Xenopus tropicalis: one gene and its partners. The protein of the gene in region 3 binds, or shares a complex with, the protein of the main gene of each other region. Links are inferred from orthologs where the notes say so. Each region holds a gene or a part of one and is shown on either strand. Other genes may lie near its edges.

What was found.
Region 1: stx5 (region 3) and bet1l share a complex: the UniProt entries of both Homo sapiens proteins name them as parts of the SNARE complex. The link is inferred for Xenopus tropicalis from reciprocal best matches to the Homo sapiens genes STX5 and BET1L.
Region 2: stx5 (region 3) and vamp7 share a complex: the UniProt entries of both Homo sapiens proteins name them as parts of the SNARE complex. The link is inferred for Xenopus tropicalis from reciprocal best matches to the Homo sapiens genes STX5 and VAMP7.

What each region holds. Positions count from the first base shown.
Region 1 is NC_030680.2:24,002,249-24,006,003, forward strand, and holds the start of bet1l (BET1-like protein), read left to right. Parts: upstream 1-1,000; 5' UTR 1,001-1,093; coding exon 1,094-1,112; intron 1,113-1,349; exon of another isoform or gene 1,350-1,411; intron 1,412-3,356; coding exon 3,357-3,448; intron 3,449-3,755. UniProt on the Homo sapiens protein: Vesicle SNARE required for targeting and fusion of retrograde transport vesicles with the Golgi complex. Required for the integrity of the Golgi complex.
Region 2 is NC_030684.2:65,382,477-65,386,131, forward strand, and holds part of vamp7 (vesicle-associated membrane protein 7), read left to right. Parts: intron 1-1,405; coding exon 1,406-1,496; intron 1,497-2,326; coding exon 2,327-2,394; intron 2,395-2,538; coding exon 2,539-2,631; intron 2,632-2,808; coding exon 2,809-2,877; 3' UTR 2,878-3,655. UniProt on the Homo sapiens protein: Involved in the targeting and/or fusion of transport vesicles to their target membrane during transport of proteins from the early endosome to the lysosome. Required for heterotypic fusion of late endosomes with lysosomes and homotypic lysosomal fusion.
Region 3 is NC_030680.2:36,546,064-36,549,718, reverse strand, and holds part of stx5 (syntaxin-5), read left to right. Parts: intron 1-323; coding exon 324-440; intron 441-572; coding exon 573-629; intron 630-710; coding exon 711-789; intron 790-1,221; coding exon 1,222-1,322; intron 1,323-3,313; coding exon 3,314-3,435; intron 3,436-3,538; coding exon 3,539-3,655. UniProt on the Homo sapiens protein: Mediates endoplasmic reticulum to Golgi transport.

The DNA of each region.
Region 1 (3,755 bases), about 13 Mb from region 3:
TAACACCAAAAAAATGTATGTATCACAGTAGTCACTATATTTTGTACCATTGCCCTGCACTGGTAAGTTGTGTTTGCATTAGAATCTCAACTATATTTTATATAAACAAAGCTGTATCAAACTGAAATAAGGCTAAGGGCTCTGGCACACGGGGAGATTAGTCACCTCGCGAGTCTTTTTCGGCGATTTCGTGAAATCGCGCCGCCGCGTGTGCCATCCCGCCGGCGACTTACATGTTCACATGTTCGCTCATGGCAACTCGGGGAGATTAGTCGCCCGCGAACAGGGAGTTTTGTCGCGGGCGACTGATCTCCCCGTGTGCAAGAGCCCTAATTGACACAGGTTACACAGCTGATAATAGATAAGCAGTGTAGTTTCCCATTGTATTCTAGAGAGCTTATCAGTTTTTTGTCTTTTGTCCTCTTTTTTTTTTGCCACCTTTTCTGAAAATAAATACCGGCCTTCCTATATTTTTATCTTTTTTTTCTAATAATAACATTGGCACTAAGCATCATTTTTACCAGACAGGTGGCAACCATAACCCCAGGGCTACACAGCAGCTTTGTATATATAAACTAGAGTAGGGTTTATGAAGTAAAAGAACTTTTACTAGTGCAGGGAAACAGTACATTATATTTTAATTACTTGAAATAATTTTCATTTTTTGGTGTCGCCATTCCTTAAAGCACTGGAAGCCTTTTTTGTCACAAACTACATTGAGAGAGGCTCCAAATTGGAGAATATGTGGGGGGAGTATTGAGCTGTAATGTGTAATCTGCTTCCACTGTTTTTGTTGGACCACAAATCCCAAGATCCCCCAAGAGATTCGCCATGTGGGGCGGAGCTAGCCACAACACACAAAGTAGGAGAAGCAAAAGGAGTGCACGTTTCACTTTATTTTTTTTATATTAGGATAATTCGGATAAACTGCTTCCATGGCAACAGCGAACGCCTAAACATTAATAGGCGTGGCTTAATGAGACAGTCCGTCCTTTCTTGACGCACTGACGCAAGGTTGAAGCGTATTGGTGGCTGTGAGGGTGACGTTAGTGACGTGTAATATCCTGCCGCGTCACATTTAGAAGAATCCAAGATGGCGGACTGGGGCAGAGGTACTGGGGTCTAGGGTGCTTGTGTGAGATAAATACGTGTGTTATGTAGGATATCAGTGCTCCCTGAATGCCGAGAGAGTGGGGGCAGCGGCCTGGCAAACAGAGAAGGTGTTTGCGTGGGATTCGCTCTGGGATATTAAGCGTAAAGCAAAGGAACTGAGAGGGAATCTATGCTGGAATTAATGTTTGGGGGCGGTACTCTGTCCTGGGTGGGGCTCTATGCTAGGGGTGGTCTCCATGGGGGCTGTATGGGGAAGTACTCTGAAGGCCTTTGGTGGGTGATTTCTCTGTTAGGGAAGGTCAGTATGGGAATGTGCTGTATACTCTGTACTACACAGTGTTCAGGGTGCGGGGGTTCTACTCTGTGTAGACTGAGACTGTTCTAGGAGTCATTAGAGAGTCGTGGGGGTCTCTAGTATAGTGTTGCAGTCTGTACCAGTCTGTATAGTGTTGCAGTCTGTACCAGTCTGTATAGTGTTGCAGTCTGTACCAGTCTGTATAGTGTTGCAGTCTGTACCAGTCTGTATAGTGTTGCAGTCTGTACCAGTCTGTATAGTGTTGCAGTCGTACCAGTCTGTATAGTGTTGCAGTCTGTACCAGTCTGTATAGTGTTGCAGTCTGTACCAGTCTGTATAGTGTTGCAGTCTGTACCAGTCTGTATAGTGTTGCAGTCTGTACCAGTCTGTATAGTGTTGCAGTCTGTACCAGTCTGTATAGTGTTGCAGTCTTACCAGTACCAGTCTGTATAGTGTTGCAGTCTGTACCAGTCTGTATAGTGTTGCAGTCTGTACCAGTCTGTATAGTGTTGCAGTCTGTACCAGTTCTGTATAGTGTTGCAGTCTGTACCAGTCTGTATAGGTGTTGCCAGTTGCTGTACCAGTCTGTATAGTGTTGCAGTCTGTACCAGTCTGTATAGTGTTGCAGTCTGTACCAGTCTGTATAGTGTTGCAGTCTGTACCAGTCTGTATAGTGTTGCAGTCTGTACCAGTCTGTATAGTGTTGCAGTCTGTATAGTGTTGCAGTCTGTACCAGTCTGTATAGTGTTGCAGTCTGTACCAGTCTGTATAGTGTTGCAGTCTGTACCAGTCTGTATAGTGTTGCAGTCTGTACCAGTCTGTATAGTGTTGCAGTCTGTACCAGCAGTCCCCAGTGTGAGGGGAGTTGGAGATCTCTCTGCTCGTTACTGGGCTGGGGAAGTGTATTAGTGTTGTGCGTGGGTACGGCACCATAAGCAATGATTTCCTGTACTTATAATAATAATATTATAATAAGCACACATTTGGGTGCCTCTCTCTTCTCTTGTTGATATCTGAGGGGCTGTTGTAATAATTTCAGACATAATAGGGGTGGGGGAGGGTTTCATAGGGCTCCAGGTTACTTTCTTAGTGCGTTATAGTCGGCTCCTTGAAGGGGAATTGCTATAAACTTAGCAGTCTCTGAGCACTTTTGCAGTGTGCATTGATTTTCTAGTTTTAATGGTTTGTGAGTCAGTAGCAGATACGTGCTGCCAGGAAGACCTCGGCTCATCAGCTCTCTTTGAATGCCCGAAAAGACTGTGGCCCTGACTGTCTATGCATTTGTAGTTTCTTTTAACCCTGGGGTTTCTGAAATGAATGTATATTGCAAAAAGGCCCAGAGAAACTCTGCCCATATGTGACTATGGCCATATCGCACTAGGATCTGCCTTGCCATGGCCAGATATATATTGATATATATTGAAATTGGCTTTATTGATTATGTTAAATGCACGTCACACATGAGGACTTTAGTCTGGGGATGTGTTTGTGCATTAGGTGAGACAGCAGTCGGGCATCCTGGAAATCCCTTCTTACATCCTGACAGTCTCATTCTAGTTTCCACTCTCGTGATTCAGGGCCGGCACCACTGTCCCTTCCCCGCGTTGTTGGGCCGGCACCACTGTCCCTTCCCCGCGTTGTTGGGCCGGCACCACTGTCCCTTCCCCGCGTTGTTGGGCCGGCACCACTGTCCCTTCCCCGCGTTGTTGGGCCGGCACCACTGTCCCTTCCCCGCGTTGTTGGGCCGGCACCACTGTCCCTTCCCCGCGTTGTTGGGCCGGCACCACTGTCCCTTCCCCGCGTTGTTGGGCCGGCACCACTGTCCCTTCCCCGCGTTGTTGGGCCGGCACCACTGTCCCTTCCCCGCGTTGTTGGGCCGGCACCACTGTCCCTTCCCCTTCCAAAAAAGAAAAACCTGCCATTCAGTTGCTCTTTGTTTTTTTTACAGGGCCAAATTCAGGAGCAGTGGATGAGATGTTGGATGCAGAGAACAAACGGCTGTCAGAAAATCTTTCTTCGAAGGTGACCAGGCTGAAATCAGTAAGTAGGAGTGGTAGATATTCTACAGGAATAAATAACTGATGTGTAGGCCTCTATTCACAGCGCCTTTCTCTTTTGCCTCTCTAACAATTCCTACTATATGCATAAAGTACAGGGCACTTCTGCCTCTCTAACAATTCCTACTGTATGCATAAAGTACAGGGCACTTCTGCCTCTCTAACAATTCCTACTGTATGCATAAAGTACAGGGCACTTCTGCCTCTCTAACAATTCCTACTATATGCATAAAGTACAGGGCACTTCTGCCTCTCTAACAATTCCTACTGTATGCATAAAGTACAGGGCA
Region 2 (3,655 bases), on a different chromosome or scaffold from region 3:
TGTTATTGGATTACTGACCCTACTAACCAGATAGATTTATATTTCAGAATACAAAGGTGAATAATTAAAATAACAGAAAATAGAATAAAGACCAATTGCAAAACAGCATGAATAACATCTGTGTACCATTTACAATGTTAACTAGACATTGAAGGTAAATTTGAAAAGCAAAGCGGCAGTACCTGGGTTTGCTTAGCTGCAAGCAAATGGCCTTTCACACAGTGCCTTATAGATATCCAGTTAATTATCTTGAGAGCATTAACTGATTATGAATAGAATCTCTCTAAGCCTGTCACATGGTAACATGTGATCTTGATTCACAACAGACACAAGTGTGTGAACATTCCTTGATCCTTGTGGTGTTTTTTTTTTTTGTAATTAGTATGTTTTCGGGACTAGACACAAAAATTGGATTGATTGATTGTCACAAAGGTGATGTGTTAGTAAGTTAATTGTATAGACACTTTGTTAAAACAAATATTTATAGCTGCTCATTTTCAGCAGAGTTAACCTGTACAGAAGGCCTTTCGGGTAATTTTTAGAATAGTTCTTTGTGTCAAGTCATGGCTAGATAGGAGACTGATCCCCTATGGATGAGGAATTCTGTAGAGTACTGGGATGGCATCCCTTATCCAGAAACTCATTTTCCAGAAAGCTCTGAAATACAGAAAGGCCATCAACCACATTTTAAACTAATAATTTAATTTTTTTTTTTAATTATTTCCTTTTTCTCTGTAATAATAAAACAGTACCTTTAATTGATCCCAACTTAGATATAATTAATCCTGGTTGGAGGCAAAACAATCCTACTTGGTTTAATTAAGGTTTATATGTTTTTTAGTAGATTTTAAGTATGGAGATGCAAATTACAAAATACTCCTTATCTTGAAAACCCCGGGTCCAGAGCATTCTGGGTAACAGGTCCCTTACCAGTACACTACAGGTAGTGAAAGTGCCTAGATTTTCAGGAAACTCTTGAGAGTATCTCTGATATCCGTTACTATCAAAATCATTAGAAATGACTGCACTACAATACATGGTGGTCCATCCATATAAGTCTTCTTGCACAGCTGAAGATGCTCTTTCTGTCTGCAAATGCTGAATATTACATTAACTTTTTCAGAGGGACTTGGGCATAATTATATTTGTACCATTCAGAAAGTTATAACAAAGTATCAAAGTTGTACAAGAAGTTTCTTATATGGCATGCTGTAGGTATTCACACTAAAGGTATTACATGTGTTTTTTGGGCAAGCATATATTAATATAATAACCAAAGTGATAAGAAGTTAGTCTGTATGGCTTTAAAGTAAACACCTATCCATTCACAGTACATATTTAGTCATGATGTGGACTACATTTTTTAACAGGGCATTTATAATACATATTTCTTATCTTTTATTAGAAATACCATTCTGAAAATAAGAGTATTGATCGTGTAGCAGAGACCCAAGCACAAGTCGATGAACTTAAAGGAATTATGGTCCGAAATATAGGTAAGTACAAACTGCAGACATGTTTGCTCTAATGTTTTTATTATTACTGTATATCCATTTTCATATAATATAGTGCTGACAGTTATTTGCAGAGATGTTACATTGTTCACATTAGTCCCTTGTCCCAGGGGATTTTACAGTCCAAGGTCCCTAGCATTCACACACTGTAATCAGTGCCAAATAACATTTCTGTCTTTTTTGGAATGTGGGAGGAAACTGGAGAAACGGAGGAATTCCACACAAGCACAGGGAAAATATGCAGACTTGTTGCAGATGATGTTCTCGCTGGATTTAAATCTAATAATACGGATAAGGGACTCAACATAAGTTGGACATAGTTCATTGCACTAATTTAATCTTGCTTAATCTATAAGCTGTTCTTTAGGAGATTGGCACAGATGCCATTTTTGAGAATTTTGCTTACATGTTTGAGGAAACAAAAAAAAAAAAACCCTGGGAGACAAATCAACATTGTTTACATTGTTATTGGGCTTTGAGGCCAGTGGCACAAGCAGGGGTTTCTGGGTCCTAAAAAATGTGGGCGTTATGATATGCTTTATACACATTTTAAAATTGCATTTCTGCCCTGTATGTTAGTGATGCACAAGTTGGCCAGGTTTGGGCTGACCAGTATGAACAGTAAATTAAAGTAATTTATTCATATAAAGGGCAATGCCACCTGGAGCACTTCAGGGCATTTTGTTGTCCCTGCAATTTCCAGCTGGGCAGGTGACAAAACACTTGGAATCTACATTTATGTTTGATCCTAAAACTGGAGCCTGAAAACTGTCACTTCTCTGACACAGATTTACCTTGCCTTTTATTTCCAGATCTGGTTGCCCAAAGAGGAGAACGGTTAGAGCTACTGATAGATAAAACAGAAAGCCTTGTTGATTCTGTAAGTATGCATTTGGTACTGTTTTTAAAATTGTTTTCTCTACTGGAATTATGTCGATTTCTTAGTCCTTTTATTCATTTTATAAAATGCTAGTGTTCAAATTATGTTGATGACTAAATTTTATTCTTTATCACTTTCTTAAAGTCTGTCACGTTCAAGACCACAAGCAGAAACTTGGCCAGAGCTATGTGCATGAAAAATTTGAAGTTGACCATCATAATTGCTATTGTAACCATAGTAAGTGCTGCTCTCCTCCTCACTTGCTGTTGCTTTTAAAGTGGTTTGGTAAATGCAACGTAATAGGGGTTTTCATTACTTTACATTGGTTGCTATGGGTTACTAGATGTGGGCAAATAGTCAAGTATTTATTATGCAAAATGTATTTATCTTTTTTTTTTTTCCCTTCTCCTATAGGTTATCATCTACATTATTGTGTCAGCAGCATGTGGGGGACTGTCATGGCCAAGCTGTGTGAATAAGTAGTGTTTTCTAGTGCATGAGGATTGTCCAAGAATGAGGAAAATAGTGCACTACTGTTTCACATGTGTAGCATCCTGTAGAAAAGAGACTTTAAAAAGAAGCCTTTTCCCTTGGACGCGATGACTTATCCTCTTCATTATTCTCTCATCCTTCCATCCCTAGTGGACTTCTACTGTATCTCTCTACGACATATACAAGGGAAAAGGAGGAGTGTGCGGCATCATCTTGTGCAGACAGTGAGTTGGAAGAGAAATTGGTGAATACAGATCGGCATTTCTTCTTTTTGTTGATTTTTTTTTTTGTCAGTACTGTGCCACTGATAATACTCATTAACTTCCATGACTTGTATCTGCAAAGAGTTTGCGTTTTTAGTCTTAACTGAAAACTTTTTTCCTTTCACTTTTAACCCTGTTCTTAGAGAAATATTCATTTTGTGGCTGGTGCCATTTGGGCATATTGCATTGGATGCTTTGGATTATGTGTGTCATTTGGCACCTTTGGTTGGTTGACCCACTGTAATATACTGTTTGCCATACCCAATTCCATGTGCCTCATTTAGACACACATTTTCCGGTAGTTCATGTTAAATTGTTAAAATGTATTAAGATTTTGTTCTCATTCCAAGAAACTGTTTTTATCGTTGTATACCCAGTAGTGGGATAGACTAATATTTCCCAGAAATGTCAAAAATCTTTAAGGCACTTCTGATCAACAGAAAGAAAACGTATTCTCATAAAATATATATATATATATATATATATATATATATATATTATGTTAA
Region 3 (3,655 bases):
CCTGAGCCACATTCAAATGTAAAAAGAGTTGGGGAGCAATAAAAGCATGAAAATTGTACATGAGGGTGCTAAATAAGGGCTATGATTGGCTATTTGGTAGCTCCTATGTGGGCTTGGAGCCTACAGGAGGCTTTGACAGTGGCAGTACACTTTGGTTTTAATGCAGCCAAAACTTGCCTCCAAGCCAGGAATTCAAAAATAAGCATCTGCTTTAAGGCCACTGGGAACAACATCCAAGGGGTTGGTGAGCAAAATTTTGTTCCCGAGCAACTGGTTGGGTACCAATGCTGACTATGAACATACTTTTCTTGGAACACTTGCAGGATATAGGAAGTCTGAACCAGCAGATTGCTCAGCTCCAGTCTTTTGTCCGTGCTCGTGGCAGTCAAAGTGGGCGACATCTTCAGACTCATTCAAATACGGTTGTGGTCTCCCTGCAGGTAAGGGTTAATAAATGGGAGTTGGGTACTCTTTAAGACTTGCTGGCTTACACCTCCTGCTACTGTGAAGCCATGTTAAACATTTCTGTAAGGTTCATCTCTAATTAATCAAACTATTTTTCTCTCTTTCAGTCAAAGCTTGCATCAATGTCTAATGATTTCAAGTCGGTTTTGGAAGTTAGGACAGAGGTAAAGTACTTTAGTTAAGCGTTATAGGTTGAGGGTGAAAATCCCTAAATCCCATGTTTAACACATGCATCTTTTCCACAGAACCTAAAGCAACAGAGGAGTCGAAGGGAACACTTCTCTCAAGGCCAGGTGGCACTCCCACTTCATCATAATAGCCTAGGTAGAGTGTGTGTTGTGTAATCCTGTGCCTTACTGACTACATGCATTTTTGTCTGCTGTCACTGTTCTGTATCAGGTCAGTGGTCCAACCATTCATTTGTTTGCCCTTCAGACTTTATAGTTTGTTTATTTTCCAAAGATATGGTGATTCCTCTGGGAAAGAGGACCTAACATTGATCAGATCTTGGTGAATATGTTTTTTACGAGAGACAAACTGGCTGGTATTCATATACCTTGTCAAAATTATTTGGTTTGGCTAAATCATGAGTCTGCAGGGTGAACAAGGTCTTTTTTCTTACCAGTTTTTATTATTGTACACTTTGTTTTTCTGTATTGATATTGCTATGGTAGTTTTCATATGGATTTTTCTCTCTGAAAAATTCCTGCATGTATCAGCATTATAGTGTTCTCACTCAATGTCGTGTCACCATAGGTCCCTCGGTTCTTCTTCAGGATGACTCTCGCAGACAGGGAGATGTGACTATAGAAATGGATTCCAGAGTTAGTCAGCAGCTGCAGCTTATTGATGAGCAGGTGAGGAGCGAAAATATGCAGCTAATATATTCCATCAGTATACCTTAATAGAAAACACTCACCTCCTTTTAAACTGCATATTTTTCCCATGATCAGACATTTTTGCAGAATTTTTTCCAGCTCTGTTAAACAAGGGCAATCCCCCCCAGAAATGGCAGATTCCATATTTAAATGGTATAAAAGAGCAGTGCCTCCATTTTCATTATATCTAACATAGTAGTGAAACCACCTATCACAGTGCTGTCCAACTTCTGCAGTGCCGAGGGCCGGAATTTCTCTCGAATACATGGTGGAGGGCCGCTAATGGAAGCCAGTTTTGGCCACTCCCCCATTTCAAACCACACCCATTTTATCACAATGGTCGCTGCAGGGATATCAACCATCATTCATATGTTAAAGAATTATATTATGTCATATTAAGACACACCCTTAAATCCATATGCCGCCTCCTCCTCTATGGATAGCACAGCAACCCCCAGAATATAATTACACACCTTAGGGACCATTTAATGGCTATTTCCAACTGCTAACAAACTCCCAGAACAAACCCCTGCCAGGTTCACCTCCCACAGGCAGCATAGGGTAGGCAGAATATGGCACACACAGGCAGCATTCTGCCTTTCCTATGCTGCCTGTGTGTATCATACTCTGCCTGCCTTATGCTGCCTATGTGCCACACTCTGCCTACCCTATGCTGCCTATACACAGGCAGCATAGGCCAGGCAGTACATACAATGTCTGAGGTGTGAATAGGTGAACAATGTGAGTGATTACAGCCTGAGCCTGAGGTGTGAACACTGCAGGGGGTGAACAATACAGAGTTTAAAAGGTGTGAACAACACAGGGGATTACATTTTTAAACAATACAGAGGGATTACAGCCTGAATCTGAGGTGATAACTATGCAGGGGGCCAGTTAAGGTTAGTACTGATACCATTTTAAGCCATCAAAGCAGCCAGACAGGTGGGGGGCCACACAGAGGGGGGTCGAGGGCCGCATGCGGCCCGCGGGCCGCCAGTTGGAGAGCACTGACCTATCAGAATAGTAAATCCCATATAATTTTATTTGAAAAGAGAATAAAACAAAATAATACCAAATCCCTGGGAGTTTTGCAAGTATTAAATGTTATGATTTTTATTTTATGTTTTTCCAAGGAAAGATCAGACCTTAGAAATTAGGACGTGTCCTCACTCAATTTCTAATAATAATAAAACCATTAATTGAGAAGACTGGAAAGAATTATGTTTTAGATTAATTAATCTGGAATATGGAGGATTATACTGGTTTGGGACCTGGGGTTTTCCAAATAAAGGGTCATTCTGTAATTTGGATCTCTATACTTTATATCTGCTAAAAAAAATGTCAACATTAATTAAGCCAATAGAATTGTTTTGCCTTCAATATGGGTTAATTATATCTTAATTAGGATAAAGTAGAAGGTACAGTTTTATTTTTCCAGGGAAACAATAAATCATTTTTAAAAATGTGAAATATTTTATTAAAATGGAGTCTATGAGAGATGGCCTTTCTGGTTAACACTTACAATACCTGTACCAGCAACTACTCATTCTGTCCCCCCAGAATGGAGTATTAACACTTTCATTTAATTTTGCTATGTCCAAAGATAGTTGAATTTTGGAAGGGAGAGATTGATAATAAAAATTAAAACAACATTGTCAAGTTGCTATGTTAGGCCTAAAGGATAATTTAATCATTTCCAGTAGCTCATACTATATCAAAACTACTGATTTTTAAAAATGTACTTCATGTGGTAGGACAGCTGCCATTACTTTATGTCCTCCATACTATCGTTACAGGAAACAAAAGAATGTTGAGAAAATTCTTCTTTTAGAATAAACTTCATACATGGCTATACATGTTTCATTTTATATACTGCATGTACGGTACCAGCAGAGAGATTATGCTAAACCCTTTAAAATATTAATTGGAAACATACAGTGGAAGTTTACATAGATGTCTCTATCCCTTAGGACTCATACATCCAAAGTCGAGCAGACACCATGCAGAATATAGAATCTACAATAGTAGAACTGGGATCCATATTTCAGCAGCTGGCTCATATGGTAAAGGAGCAGGAAGAGACTATACAAAGGTGAGTGCTTACTCCATGCTTATTCATTTTCTTGTTGTGAACTCTTATCTAGTATCCTGGGTGCTAACCTTTTTCCACTTTATGCTCAATTCTACCTTCTCAGGATTGATGGAAATGTAGAAGACACTCAGTTAAACGTGGAGGGCGCCCATCAAGAGATCCTGAAGTATTTCCAATCTGTCACATCGAACCGCTGGCTTATGATCAAGATTTTCCTCAT